Linked DNA regions of Solanum lycopersicum. The main gene of each other region encodes a partner of the protein of the gene in region 2 in a complex. Links are inferred from orthologs where the notes say so. Each region holds a gene or a part of one and is shown on either strand. Other genes may lie near its edges. The genes, in order: transcription initiation factor TFIID subunit 11, transcription initiation factor TFIID subunit 15b and transcription initiation factor TFIID subunit 10.

Region 1 (3,475 bases), on a different chromosome or scaffold from region 2:
CAGATTGGGTATATTGTTGTTGTTTGACTTGAGATGGCCTTGTTACGTGATATTGGACCAATCCCTAACATTAGCCTATTGAAGCACATTCTTTTTGTCTTTCATTGCACACATGTAATGTTAGAATTCATTTTCTCAATAGACGCGTAACTGTCAGATGATTGAGAATGAAGCCAAATCTTTGTGAATATGTGAGGATCTTGTGCAAGCCTTAGGGCCATTGAGATATTTGCTTTTCCAGTCTGATCATTTATTGTGCATAATTTATTTTTTGTCGTGACTCTTGTGTGTTGTCGATGCAGTTGCTGACCAACATCACAGGAAGTGCAAAGATATCTATTCCTATGACAATTGTGGTGTCTGGGATAGCAAAAATGTTTGTCGGTGAGCTTATTGAAACAGGTAAATAGACAGATCCACTTGTTATAGAGATAATTGATGAAGCAAACGTTTATCCTTTATTTGGGAATAGCAAGGATGACTTGTCGTTGGAATGATCTTATTTTCGTTCTATTCTTAGACACTAGTGCACAGCTCCAAAATATTTGCCAAACTATAATCAGTTTCTGACCAATTTGCAACAATGAGGCATTAAAAGCCCAAGACCAGTAATATTATCCGTTACTGAGCATGTTGGTTAACATTCATTTGGAACACTTTACCCCTTTAAAGTAACAAAAGAGTGGCTCTAAAATGTCTTCTATGTACTCACACATCGTACCTATGCTAAGTAAGCACCCGCCAATGTGTCTGAAATTGCATTTGACGTGTCTGACTGGTTAAGGATGTTTGGCACTATAACTAGGGAAAACATAGGACTTTTTAGCAAGAACAATAAAATGACTCTCCTGCCTCAGTGTTGGCCCAGGCACTGCCCTCCTTTGTTCCTAGTGGTCTCTGTTACCCTCTACCTGTAAAAGCTCACTGTCACATTGTTTCTCTGCTTTTCCTTTCCCTTCTTCAAAAGATCGATAGAATCAACTGAATATTTCGTAAACCTAGGTGAACACGTTTAACCAATTTCCAGTCTAATTATGCAGTAAAGAGTTGCCAATCTTTAGTGTTTCAAGGTGGAAGTGTCCTCAGTTAAATAAAGTTGAAGGGCTATACTGCATTGATTTTCTCCAAGTAATGGTGCTCACTCATCTTACAATACCTTTTGCAGCTAAAATGGTGATGGCAGAGAGAAAAGATACTGGCCCAATCAGGCCATGCCACATAAGAGAAGCATATAGAAGGTTAAAACTTGAAGGCAAGATTCCAAAAAAATCAGTGCCAAGGCTTTTCCGGTAGTGAACGTGGAAGCAACCTGTAGTTATATTTCAGGTTCATTGTCTTCCTATTGCTTACAAGTCCTCTAATGTGTCTATGTTGAATTGTCGCAAATCCTTAATTATCTTGCACTTCCAGGTCAAGTAAACATTGCTAGTCACAAAGTTGTCGAGTTAGGACACTTTTGCATTGCCTATTATATATGGGGTTAATCTGTTAATTAAATTACTTAATTAGAGGGAAGGAGTTTAACATTTGTGAAAATATTTGTACTGCCCGTAACCTGGAACTGAAAATGATGGAAGGAGAACACTAAGATTGCAACATCTTGGCTAAAATAACAGCATCATTGTATTTTTGGGCAAATCATCATTGTGACCATGGTCGAGTTTGTTGACCATGTTGTGAATTTCTCAATGCACTTGGATGAAAGAGAAAATTGGAGTGACGGGACAACAATGCTTCTTCACCATGTTGTGTGGAGGAGGCATCACAACGGTCCTAAACTTTATCAAGTAGAAAAGAAACCAAAAGATAATTCAGATCAGTTTGATTGTTCTTCTCTTTAATTCTAACTGTGGACGTTGTCGTTCATTTTCAAAATCATTTGTTCACGCTCTTAAGTTTTTACAATGTTTCTCATCCCTTGTTCTCCATTCTCTCAGATTTGTAGTAGTCAGCCACTTTCCTCGCAGAAAGGCGTAAGGATGAACTTGTAAATCTTGGACGAAAAGATTCATGAGGTGTACCTTTACAAGGTGAGGCTTTAGCTTCTCTTTGAAATGTTGGGGTTCCATTAAAGAAGTAAATTTCGAGGGGCATCAGCCATGGTGGGAAGAGAGCTCTCACCTTGACGAAAGGATTGGCAGGACGAAGATCCTGAACAAATTGTTTCTTAACTGTGTAGTTTTTGGTGTTGGTACATTGAGTTTCAGCTGTTGCCATCATTTTTCCCTTTTTCCAGAAGGGCATACTTAGGATACATGAAATTATGAAAATAGTAGAAAATGTTTGGAAAAAACAGATCGAGTTAAGTGGCATTCCAAGTTTATTGTCTCTTTTCCACCTACTTAATTCCCCCGACCCGTTCCGGATCATCCCAAACCCCGTTACCCCGAACCCCCACTTTCCAACCCCCTTTCGTTTTGTTAGATATCATATAAATAGTATTGGAATAATGTTTTCCTGCTTAACTTACCAAACATAAGAAAATAAATAAGAAATCTACTTGATTGCTGAGAAAACATTTTTTAGAAAATCATTTTCGGCTAAAAATATTTTCCTTTCCTACCAAACACACTTGGATATTGAAAAAATCAATCATTTGTTAAGTGTATACATTAAAAGGATAATAGTATAAAATGACAAACTAATAACGTAAAATAAATATAGTAGCTACCGTTTGATTTATTTGTATTCCATAGCAAACGGTTTGTCAGTCGCCTCTCTCCCTCATATTCTCGCTCGCCACTCTACCTCTATTGTTCGCTCCCAGTCGCTCGCCGCTCTCGCTTTATACAATAGAGCGAAAATTGTATAAAGCGAGAGAAAATTGTATATATACATACAAATACATATATCTTCATCCTATAAACTTATAATTATACAATGCAAATATTTTTCTGCCCAATTTTCTATTGTCTTATTCTCTTTCTTGTTTTATACATACACAAATTATACAATTGATTTGTTTAATTTTTTGCATTTGTATAAGGATACTTTTGTATAATGTTCATTTAGACATATACTATAGCACAAACTTATACACATACATAAATTGAAGTATGTTTGTATAATGTATATATATTGAATCATACATCCAAACTAAGGACGAATATAAGTATACATGTTTTCTCTTTTTTCTTTACTTTATACAATTTCTTCTGCACTGCATAAATATAGTAATTATACGATTCACCAAACAACGATTCATCGGTAATTAACAAATAAATGTTTTTTCCTTTCTCTTTACTTTATACAATTTCTTCTGCATTGTATAAATATACTTATTATACAATTCATCAAACAACGATTCATCCATAACAAACTACAATTTTACTTCGGAAAGCAATTTTGAAAAGTTTGTCATCACATAAAATTAAGAAAATTTGTTATATGTGAAAGTTGTCCAACATTATACTCCAATGGACCTCTATCAAAAGCCCACTACATGTATATTAGCCACTTTGATTAGTTCTCTCAG
Region 2 (4,461 bases):
AAATCAATGTATCAATGATGTTAACAATTTACTGAAAATAATTATTGAAATTAAACTTCAATACAGACACCCTATGCGATCAAGTATGAATTTTAGGCATGCAACTTTAGTATGAAATTTGGCACAGCAATTAGAGTCAACATCAGATGCAAGAACAACTCTGATCATCTACTTGATAAACAACCAAAACTCTGGAGAATTCATAAAAATAACCATACATCCACTATCTAGTTAAACACACTTGCTAACTCTGCATACATTCCACAGCATAACCACTAAGACATGTTGTGAGTTGACATAAACTGTGAATTGTAGCACAACTGGAGGTAAAATGCAATGGAGTAGAAAGAGTATGCAGTAATTTAAGAAGGCTCACCCAGAACCAAATGCCGGAGGCGGCTTTGGTGCAGACTTTTCAGCCATCGCTACAGTGATTTTGTAACCTCTGAAGTCGTGATCTGATGATGATTATATTTTATGGTCAGCATGTAAATAATATACTGCGTAAACTCAATTGAATAAATTTGGGTCTAGTTTGTACTATTGAAAAAGCCGCCGGCAGAGTGAGCTGCAGAAGGATCTTCGTATGACAGAACTGCATCTCCTTTGTTATTTCCTTGATCGTCTGTGTATAGCTTTATGCTCCAAGGCCACTGGTCTTTGTAACCTCGTTTTTGCTTGATTCTTGCAACCTACACGTTAAAAAGAAACTTAAGCACTTACCCTGGTATATATGCTAAGAGAAAGTCATTAAAAGTAAGCTTCTTTATTGTCACAATTCAATGGCAATTAGTCTGCAAAATCAAGTAGCAAGTATTGGGTTGTCCTTCTGTCTAAGCTCAGGCATCAATACCACATTAACACAGCAAGGGTTCACGTGAAGTTAAGAGAAGAACAACGTAAATGCTACAAGACAGAATGAATCTGATACTGAGAATCATAACCGAAAGAAATCTGCATATTACTTGTCCAATGCTCCCAAAAAGTTCTCTAAGTTCTTCGACGGTCACATCAGGAGGCAAATTTGAGATATATATTCTTGCGTTGTCACAGAGATCTCCACAATTCTCATCGCATTGCTTGACCTTTACCGGAGCCTCAGCTGGAGAACTACCATAACCACCTCCTGTATTCCGGGCACCACCGCCATATCCCCCATCATATCCACCTGGTGGACCACCCCGTCCACCCCCACGAGCATCAGCTGGTGTATCCCCACCATAGCCACCAGGGGCACCATACGAAGGGGGATAAGATGCAGGTCCACCAACATAACTCGCAGGCGGGGGAACTGCATCGGGGTTTCCACCGTAAGTATTAGAAGGTGGTGGATAGTTGCTATCAGCAGCCCCATAAGATGGAGGAGCATGAGGAGGACCTTGGGCATAACCACCACCATCTCTTCCCTGACTACCACCATAAGAACCAGTTCTACCACCTCCAGCATTTCTGCTTTCATAGTTGTCACCTCTTCCCCCTCGACTATTTCCATAGCCGCCATCACTTCCACCTCTGTTATAACTGCTACCACCTCTGCCACCACGATCATCAGAACCAGCAGGTGAAGGTGCACCACATTTGTTACATTCAACTCTTCTAGCAAAGTTCAAATTTCCACAACTACACCCAGACATGCCAGAATTAATAACAATTGACATGAAATGGTAACAAACACAATAACATATGTTAAATGAAATATTAGCAAATGAAACCCAGAATACATAACCTTGAACAACCACCGCACTGAACTGACATCTTGTCAAATTAATAGGATAGAAGCACTATTAAAATTAGAATGACAAAGGCAAGGAGAATCAAAATAAATTTCTTTCTTTATGAAAAAAAAGAGTACTAATAAAATAACTAAGCATCCAGGGATGCAAGATGTACAGAAGTAGGAAGAGCAAGCTTTAGAAAGAGCAGAAATAGAACCTTACATAATACAAGAGAGTTGACAAAATCCAAGAATTGTTCAGGGTTATACAGAGGTGTAAGGTTAACCCAACTAAAAATTAAAACTAAGCATAAATTCTTAGTGAACCTGCATAAGGAAACACTGGTTATATTGAGCAAAGTGGCTGGACAATTTGGTAGTAGGATTTCATACAAGTAATGAAATAGGACATCATATATTTCTAGTGACAGGATATCATGATTTTCCAAAAATTAACCTCTGTTTTATCTGAAAGAGTTTGCACAAACTATCGCTGCCTCACTATCAATTGGATTAGGTTCAAGAGTAAAAGCAAATATAATCCTTTTTTGCTCATATGGAATTAAGTAGGAGTCTCACAAATTTTAAGGGAATTAGGGGGAGAAGTGAGTAAGGATAATTTAACATGACCTGAAAAACCACGAGAAGGATGTGAGAATATTACCTTGGGTTAGGGCAACGCCAATCACCTTCCTTACCACTTCCTCCACCACGACCGCCGCCGCGACCTCCGCGATCTCCTCCTTGGTATCCACCACTACCTCCACGATCTCCTCCTTGGTATCCACCGCCACCGCCACGATCTCCTCCTTGGTATCCACCGCCACCTCCACGATCTCCTCCTTGGTATCCACCGCTACCTCCACGATCTCCTCCATGGTATCCACCTCCACCTCCTGTAAATAGAACCACATGTGAATAAAACTCATTCAAAGTACAGACATAGTGTAATAATTCAAATAGATACCTCGATTATGGGAGCTACCACCATAGCCTCCACCTCCACCTCCTCGACCTCCGCCACCTCTACCGCCGCCACCGTATGATCCGCCACTGCCTCCGTAACCACCACCTGAACCACCATATCCTCCGCCACCCGATCCATACCCACCGCCTCCTCCGCCACTTGGTGGCGGAGCAGATCCGCCGCTTTCGTAACCGTACGTACCGGCCATCGACTGCACTAGCTAGGGTTTATGAATGAGAGAAGAAAAGATAAAGTAAAATACTATATGGGGATAGAAGGGTCAACTTTTATATGCCGATTACACAAGATATTTTTCCTTATTAAATCTTTGTCCACTTCTCCAGCAAATAATCACCTACCTTGATTTGGAGCCAAGTTATTAAATATAAATAAATTATGCTTTATTAATAATTTTATATAAGTTGTATCATGTTGGGTAATTGAGAAGGAGGTGAGATGTCAGGTATAAAAATAGAAAAACTTGTATACAATATCAAATTATTAATTCAAATTAAATGTTATAAATATATTTTGATTTAATTGTATTATTTAACAAATTATTGTTATTTTCACCACTTTTCTTGGTGTAATCTCGTTCGCCACTCTCGTTTGGTGGCGATCTCACTCTCCTCTCTCATTTTTTATACAAAAACAAATGTATAAAATGTTTTTGTGTTTGTATAAGGCGAGAGAAAATTGTATAAATATATATATTTTCGTTCTCCTCTTTCCCCTCTTCCAGATCTCGATCGCCACTCTTCCGAATCCGCTCGCCTCTCTCGCTTATACAAACGAAAACAAAATGTATAAGTTGTGATTTTGTTTGTATAAAGCGAGAGAAAAATTATATATACACATGTAAATACATATATTTCTTCGTCCTATACACTTATAGTTATACAATACAAATATTTCTCTGCCCAATTTTCTTTTGCTTTTTTCTCTTTCTCGTTTTATGCATACACAGATTATACAAATCTTTTGTATACAACTATTTTTTTTATATGTATGATGAATTGGACAACTGTTTTTTTTTGTATATATAGCTATTTTTTATATATATATACATGTTTATATTTGCTATGGAGCGTAATTATACAAACTTTGTTATAGCATACAAGTATGAATTTTGTGGTTGTTATATGTGAAAGTTGCTCATAAAAATAATATAAAATGTAATTAAAATTTTAACAATTCATATAATTAATATATGTATGCATAACTAAACACTTACATTTCTTATAATTATTATCTGCCTAATTTTAATTAACTAAAAAACAAACCTTACATATTTCTTTTAATTATTAAATAAAGTAGATTATAAAAGGGGATAAAAATTGCAAGAAATTAAGTTAATTTGGTAGGCAAAAATACTTTAAACCCCTACCGCAAAACTTGTTCCGTTAACACTCCCTTGATATGTAAATTGTAATTGAAGGGAGTAATCGATGAGATAATCAATTCTATTAGGAAAAATGATAAAAATCGCTTTTTTAAAATCATTTATTATCGCTATTTCCTATTAGTTTTAAAAATATTTTAAATTTTTTATTTTTAAATTAAATAAGACGGATATAAAAATCTGACAAAAATAGAGATGGATACAAAAATGTGACAAAAAATGAGGCGATACAAAAATTGTGACAAAAAATGAGGCGGATACAAAAATGTGAAAAAATATATAAATATCCATCACCTTTTTATTGTATCAGCCCTATTATGTATCCGTATTTTTGTATATTTTTGAGGAATTTTGGTCATTAAAAATTTATAAGGAACA
Region 3 (4,461 bases), on a different chromosome or scaffold from region 2:
ATTTTTCATTATTCTTAGATACATTCTGTGTTTGTCCGATACATTGCAAATGATACTTTACTTAACGAGAGGATATCCGAATATGAATTTTTATAATTTTTTAAAAACAAGAAATTTCAAAGATAACAATATATCATACTATCTCCGTCCATCTTTTAATTGTCTTAATTTCCTTTTTCAAAGTCAAACGATAATAACTTTAACTAATATTTTACGATATATTTTTACATCACAATGATATGCAAAAAAGAAAATTTGAAATTTATAATAATTTTGGTAAATTTTTTTCTTCTCATTAAATTTTATGATTCCCTATTGATCACTTCACCCTTCTTTTTAACTTACTTTTTCTCTTTTCACTATTCATCCACTAAATTTGTTTCATATAAATACACACATATACCATCTTTGCATTTCTCAAGCCAAGCTAAGTTTTATTTTTCTTATTTTCTTTGTTCTAAAAGTTTAATATTCGTTTCGCTCGCAAAAAATTTAATAAATTTTTCTATCGAAAAAATAAAATATTAGACATTTCATCTTCGAAAATAAAATAAAAATGCGAACAGTAAGTACCTTTACTACTGCTTCTCCATCAGTCTCTCCATCGGCGATTGTTCAAAAATCGCCATGGCATTCGCCGGCGCCGTATCTATTCGCCGGCGTAGCGTCCATGCTAGTGTTAATAACTTTTGCTTTAGTAATCCTAGCTTGTTCTTACTGGAGACGATCCGGCTATCCGAGAGAAAACGGCGATGTAGAATCCGGCGACGGCGAGAAATCGACCGGTGATGTTTTCAAGGCGTCGCCGGTTTTTGAGGAGAAAATAGTTGTGATAATGGCTGGAGATTTGAATCCAACTTTTTTGGCTACGCCTATTTCGAGTAGAGGTAATTCGTTTGGTGCTGGTGATAAAATTGAGAAGAAATTGGAAAAGGAAACTGAAGAATTTGATGATGAGAAGGCGAAAGATGAAGCTATGGATCAAGCTCATGAAGAATCTCAAATCGGCCATTGATGAAGCTACTGAGCTTTGAAAAAAAAAAAACAGAGCAATTTTCTCTATTTTTTTTTTTGAGTTCTTCCATTTTTGGTTTAATTTTTCAATTTTGAGATTCGGGAAATTGTACTCAATTTTGGTTGAGATAACAAAGAGTTAGAAAAAATTTTCGTTTTCGAGTAATATGTTTTCACGGAAATTGTTACTTCGATTTGATACGTGTTTTATTAGCTAACGATAATCATAAGAGTCATTTTGCTAAAAAATAAATAGATCGTTTTTAAATTTTTCAATGAAAAAAGTAAAATTGATGATATATTTTTAATATAATGAATGAAAAGAGTAGAATCAATTATATATCGATTTAGAAAATGAATTATTTGAAGAATCTCGAATGTATGTGCATATGTGACGTTTGCGATTTTATATCTATTGTGATTTACTAATTATATTTGATAATTTATAGTAATTAAATATGATTTAAAAATCATGCTTATTCATGCAATTTATAGGTCGTATCTATCGAATATGATATATAGTTAATCTATAAATTGAGTTACTATTAATATGTAATTTATAAATTATATTTATCTAATATAACTTTCAAATGATGCAAATCAAATGTGATATTAGTCATATTTGTGAAACATGATTTATAATCGTGCTTACCAAATCATTCAAGTACCAATTAAGTTACTCAATTGTATTGTAATTAAATTAGTTATCAAATAATATCCAAATTGTTTACTCAATAATAATATAATTCATTTTAATCTTCTATGATAGAGAAGAATAAAATGGCTAACATAAGTGATTATGAGTGTGTGTATATATATATATATATATACTTCAATGTAAATTTTAATTGCGTTTGGTTTGATAGAGAATAAAATAATTTAATTATATTTTTATTTTATAATTTTTTTAAATGTTATGAACTATCAAATTTAAAAAATAAAATAAAATATAATTTTTTTTTTTACGAAATATTATCGTTAGCTAGGTAAATATATATGCCCCTCTTCGCGAACGAATTTCACATAACAAAAATACAATTCTCCTCTATCTTAGGCCTTTTCTCATTTTTTTTCTTTTTTGCACAATTGTGGAGAAACAATTTTGAATTTTAAAAAATAATCAAAATTATAATATTTCTATATCCTAGAAGGAAAATAATATTACTTTTTCAATATGTGAGTTTAAAAATAATTTTTATATATATTTTTAAATATTTTAAATTATCGTAACCATAGTAATTTTACTTACCTATTACTAGAATATTTTTCTTCAGTTTCTTCTTCCGATTTTTTTCTCAAAGTAAAAAGGCACAAATCTTCCCCAATTTTCCTCCGGCGAAATTGAAACTCCGACCACCGCCGATCCTCCGTTGACTCTGTTTCGACGGTGAAGATGAACCAAAGTCAAGGTCAACAAACAAGTGAAGGAAGACACGAGGATGATGCTGTTCTAGCCGATTTCCTTGCTTCCTTGATGGACTATACTCCCACTGTGAGCTACTTTTTGCCCTTTTTCTTACTGAAGAGATCAATTTTATGTTTTATTTATGTAGGTTAACGCTTTTGATCAGATTCCTGATGAATTGGTGGAGCATTACTTGGGTAAAAGTGGATTTCAATGTCCTGATGTTCGATTGTATGTATTTTCTTCCCATTCTTATGTTGATGTTTCTGCAATTTAGCCTGCTTAGATTAGTTATAGAAAAATTGTTTGGATTGCTCATAAGGAAGATATGATTTTCGTGTGTTTATCTAGAACTATTTTCACTAGGTTTATCCTCTGTCTTGAGCTAACCGTAGTCTTTAAACTCGAATACGATGAACGCGCTCCTCAACCTACGTTTATTTTGCTTGGCGTAGCGAAAGCTCTACACTTTTGCCAAGTGAGCTAAGCCCTGGGGGTTCAAAGGGAGATATTATGTTACTGCAGCAAACAAATAAATTGGGCAAAGGTGCCCATATAATGATGTAAAATCCAGCTTGGGAGGATGTCCTCCCAAGATATTTCCTTCAACGAAGTAATAGAAAACTTAGCTGAATTATGTGCTAGTTTTGTTTAGACTTCTCGGAATATGAACAAAGTCTACATGATCAAGCAAGCTCTTAGCTTCCAAATGTCTTCACAAGTCACCTCTATCTCCCATGAGGTAGTTAACTTTTTCCTGAATCATAATCAATAACACTCTTTGCTTCCAATAGGATTCTCACATCCTTCCAATTGTTCCTGATTGTACGTTCAAGAGCCACTCTTAAAGCAAGTGCTTCAACAGTCATAGCTTTTCCCGCAAACTGGATTGGGGAAACATGGGCATGAATCAGTTTTCCAAGGCTTTCCAGAGCTGCAACACCAATATTTGCCAGTCCAGTATCCACCTGTAAACCTGCATCAGTAAACAATAATATAACATCTTGGTGGGTTGTTGGTGGAGCCGCAAGGCAATACCCATTTTTATGAAAATTAGATGAGCAATTAGCTGAATATCTTTATACTCGTAGCAATCAAACAGTGACTAAGCGGCAGTATTCTCTAGTTCCGTTTTTGTTTTGATCGTTTTCTATTTATCTGGTTTAGCAGTAAATTCAAGTAAAATTTATATATCTGTGAATTGGATTGGTATTTACCTTTTTACAAGTTGTAAATTTTAATATTGTAGCATTTGATGTTTTGTTTGACAGTGATGGCTGGTTTATCTTATGTTATCAGTTTTTAATACTGTGTTGTTGTATTGAGTTTTTCCTTTGGATATGCAGAATAAGGTTGGTGGCAGTTGCTACTCAGAAGTTTATTGCAGATGTGGCTACTGATGCTCTCCAGTATGTTTCTTAATTATTTTATTTTTCTTGAATTCTGTTTCCTCCTCCATCTTATGTTAAGTATGCTGCTAATTCTTCGGCATATTGCTCATCGATTGTCCCCTACTCTTGAGGCTTCAATGCAATTGTTGCCTGTCTAGGTGTTTGTCATTGTATGATCCTTCCAACTTTTAAGTGTTCAAGTTGTTCTCCTCCCCCAAACCTTAAAAAAACTCTTTTTGGTTCGTCTCTAATGAATTAGAAACATTAAGTTGGTAATTTTAGAATCCAAGCCTGTTATATTTTTAAAGACTGCCGACCCTAACTTGACTACACTACCAAAAATACAACACCTGAAATTCTCTATTGTTAGCGCAATAATACTACTACCTCAGGAGATTATTGTGTCTGTGACACTCCAAAACCTTAGAAAAGAGACAAAGAAACAGAAAAATACAATATAAAGAAACTAAGATATGACTTGAGTAGACATGTAGAAAGACCTTGTTTCAGAATATATGATTACAAATAACAAAGCATCCAACTTTCTCTGAACTTCCTTTCTTAATGTTTCCAATGGATTGTTATTTTCCTAATGCTTCTACTGGATTGTGGTAGATCTTCTCAACTGTGACAAATCAGTTGTGTTTTGTT

What was found.
Region 1: transcription initiation factor TFIID subunit 15b (region 2) and transcription initiation factor TFIID subunit 11 share a complex: the UniProt entries of both Arabidopsis thaliana proteins name them as parts of the TFIID complex. The link is inferred for Solanum lycopersicum from reciprocal best matches to the Arabidopsis thaliana genes TAF15b and TAF11.
Region 3: transcription initiation factor TFIID subunit 15b (region 2) and transcription initiation factor TFIID subunit 10 share a complex: the UniProt entries of both Arabidopsis thaliana proteins name them as parts of the TFIID complex. The link is inferred for Solanum lycopersicum from reciprocal best matches to the Arabidopsis thaliana genes TAF15b and TAFII15.

Annotation. Positions count from the first base shown.
Region 1 is NC_090804.1:5,055,347-5,058,821, reverse strand, and holds the end of transcription initiation factor TFIID subunit 11, read left to right. Parts: intron 1-302; coding exon 303-402; intron 403-1,165; coding exon 1,166-1,293; 3' UTR 1,294-1,326; exon of another isoform or gene 1,327-1,655; intron 1,656-1,937; 3' UTR 1,938-2,516; downstream 2,517-3,475. UniProt on the Arabidopsis thaliana protein: TAFs are components of the transcription factor IID (TFIID) complex that is essential for mediating regulation of RNA polymerase transcription.
Region 2 is NC_090805.1:50,535,541-50,540,001, reverse strand, and holds the start of transcription initiation factor TFIID subunit 15b, read right to left. Parts: upstream 3,124-4,461; 5' UTR 2,890-3,123; coding exon 2,682-2,889; intron 2,611-2,681; coding exon 2,379-2,610; intron 1,621-2,378; coding exon 966-1,620; intron 693-965; coding exon 542-692; intron 459-541; coding exon 377-458; intron 1-376. UniProt on the Arabidopsis thaliana protein: TAFs are components of the transcription factor IID (TFIID) complex that is essential for mediating regulation of RNA polymerase transcription.
Region 3 is NC_090811.1:67,585,965-67,590,425, reverse strand, and holds the start of transcription initiation factor TFIID subunit 10, read left to right. Parts: upstream 1-2,035; 5' UTR 2,036-2,407; coding exon 2,408-2,506; intron 2,507-2,585; coding exon 2,586-2,650; intron 2,651-3,765; coding exon 3,766-3,828; intron 3,829-4,461. Other genes in the region: protein GLUTAMINE DUMPER 2, read left to right, coding at 557-1,015. UniProt on the Arabidopsis thaliana protein: TAFs are components of the transcription factor IID (TFIID) complex that is essential for mediating regulation of RNA polymerase transcription.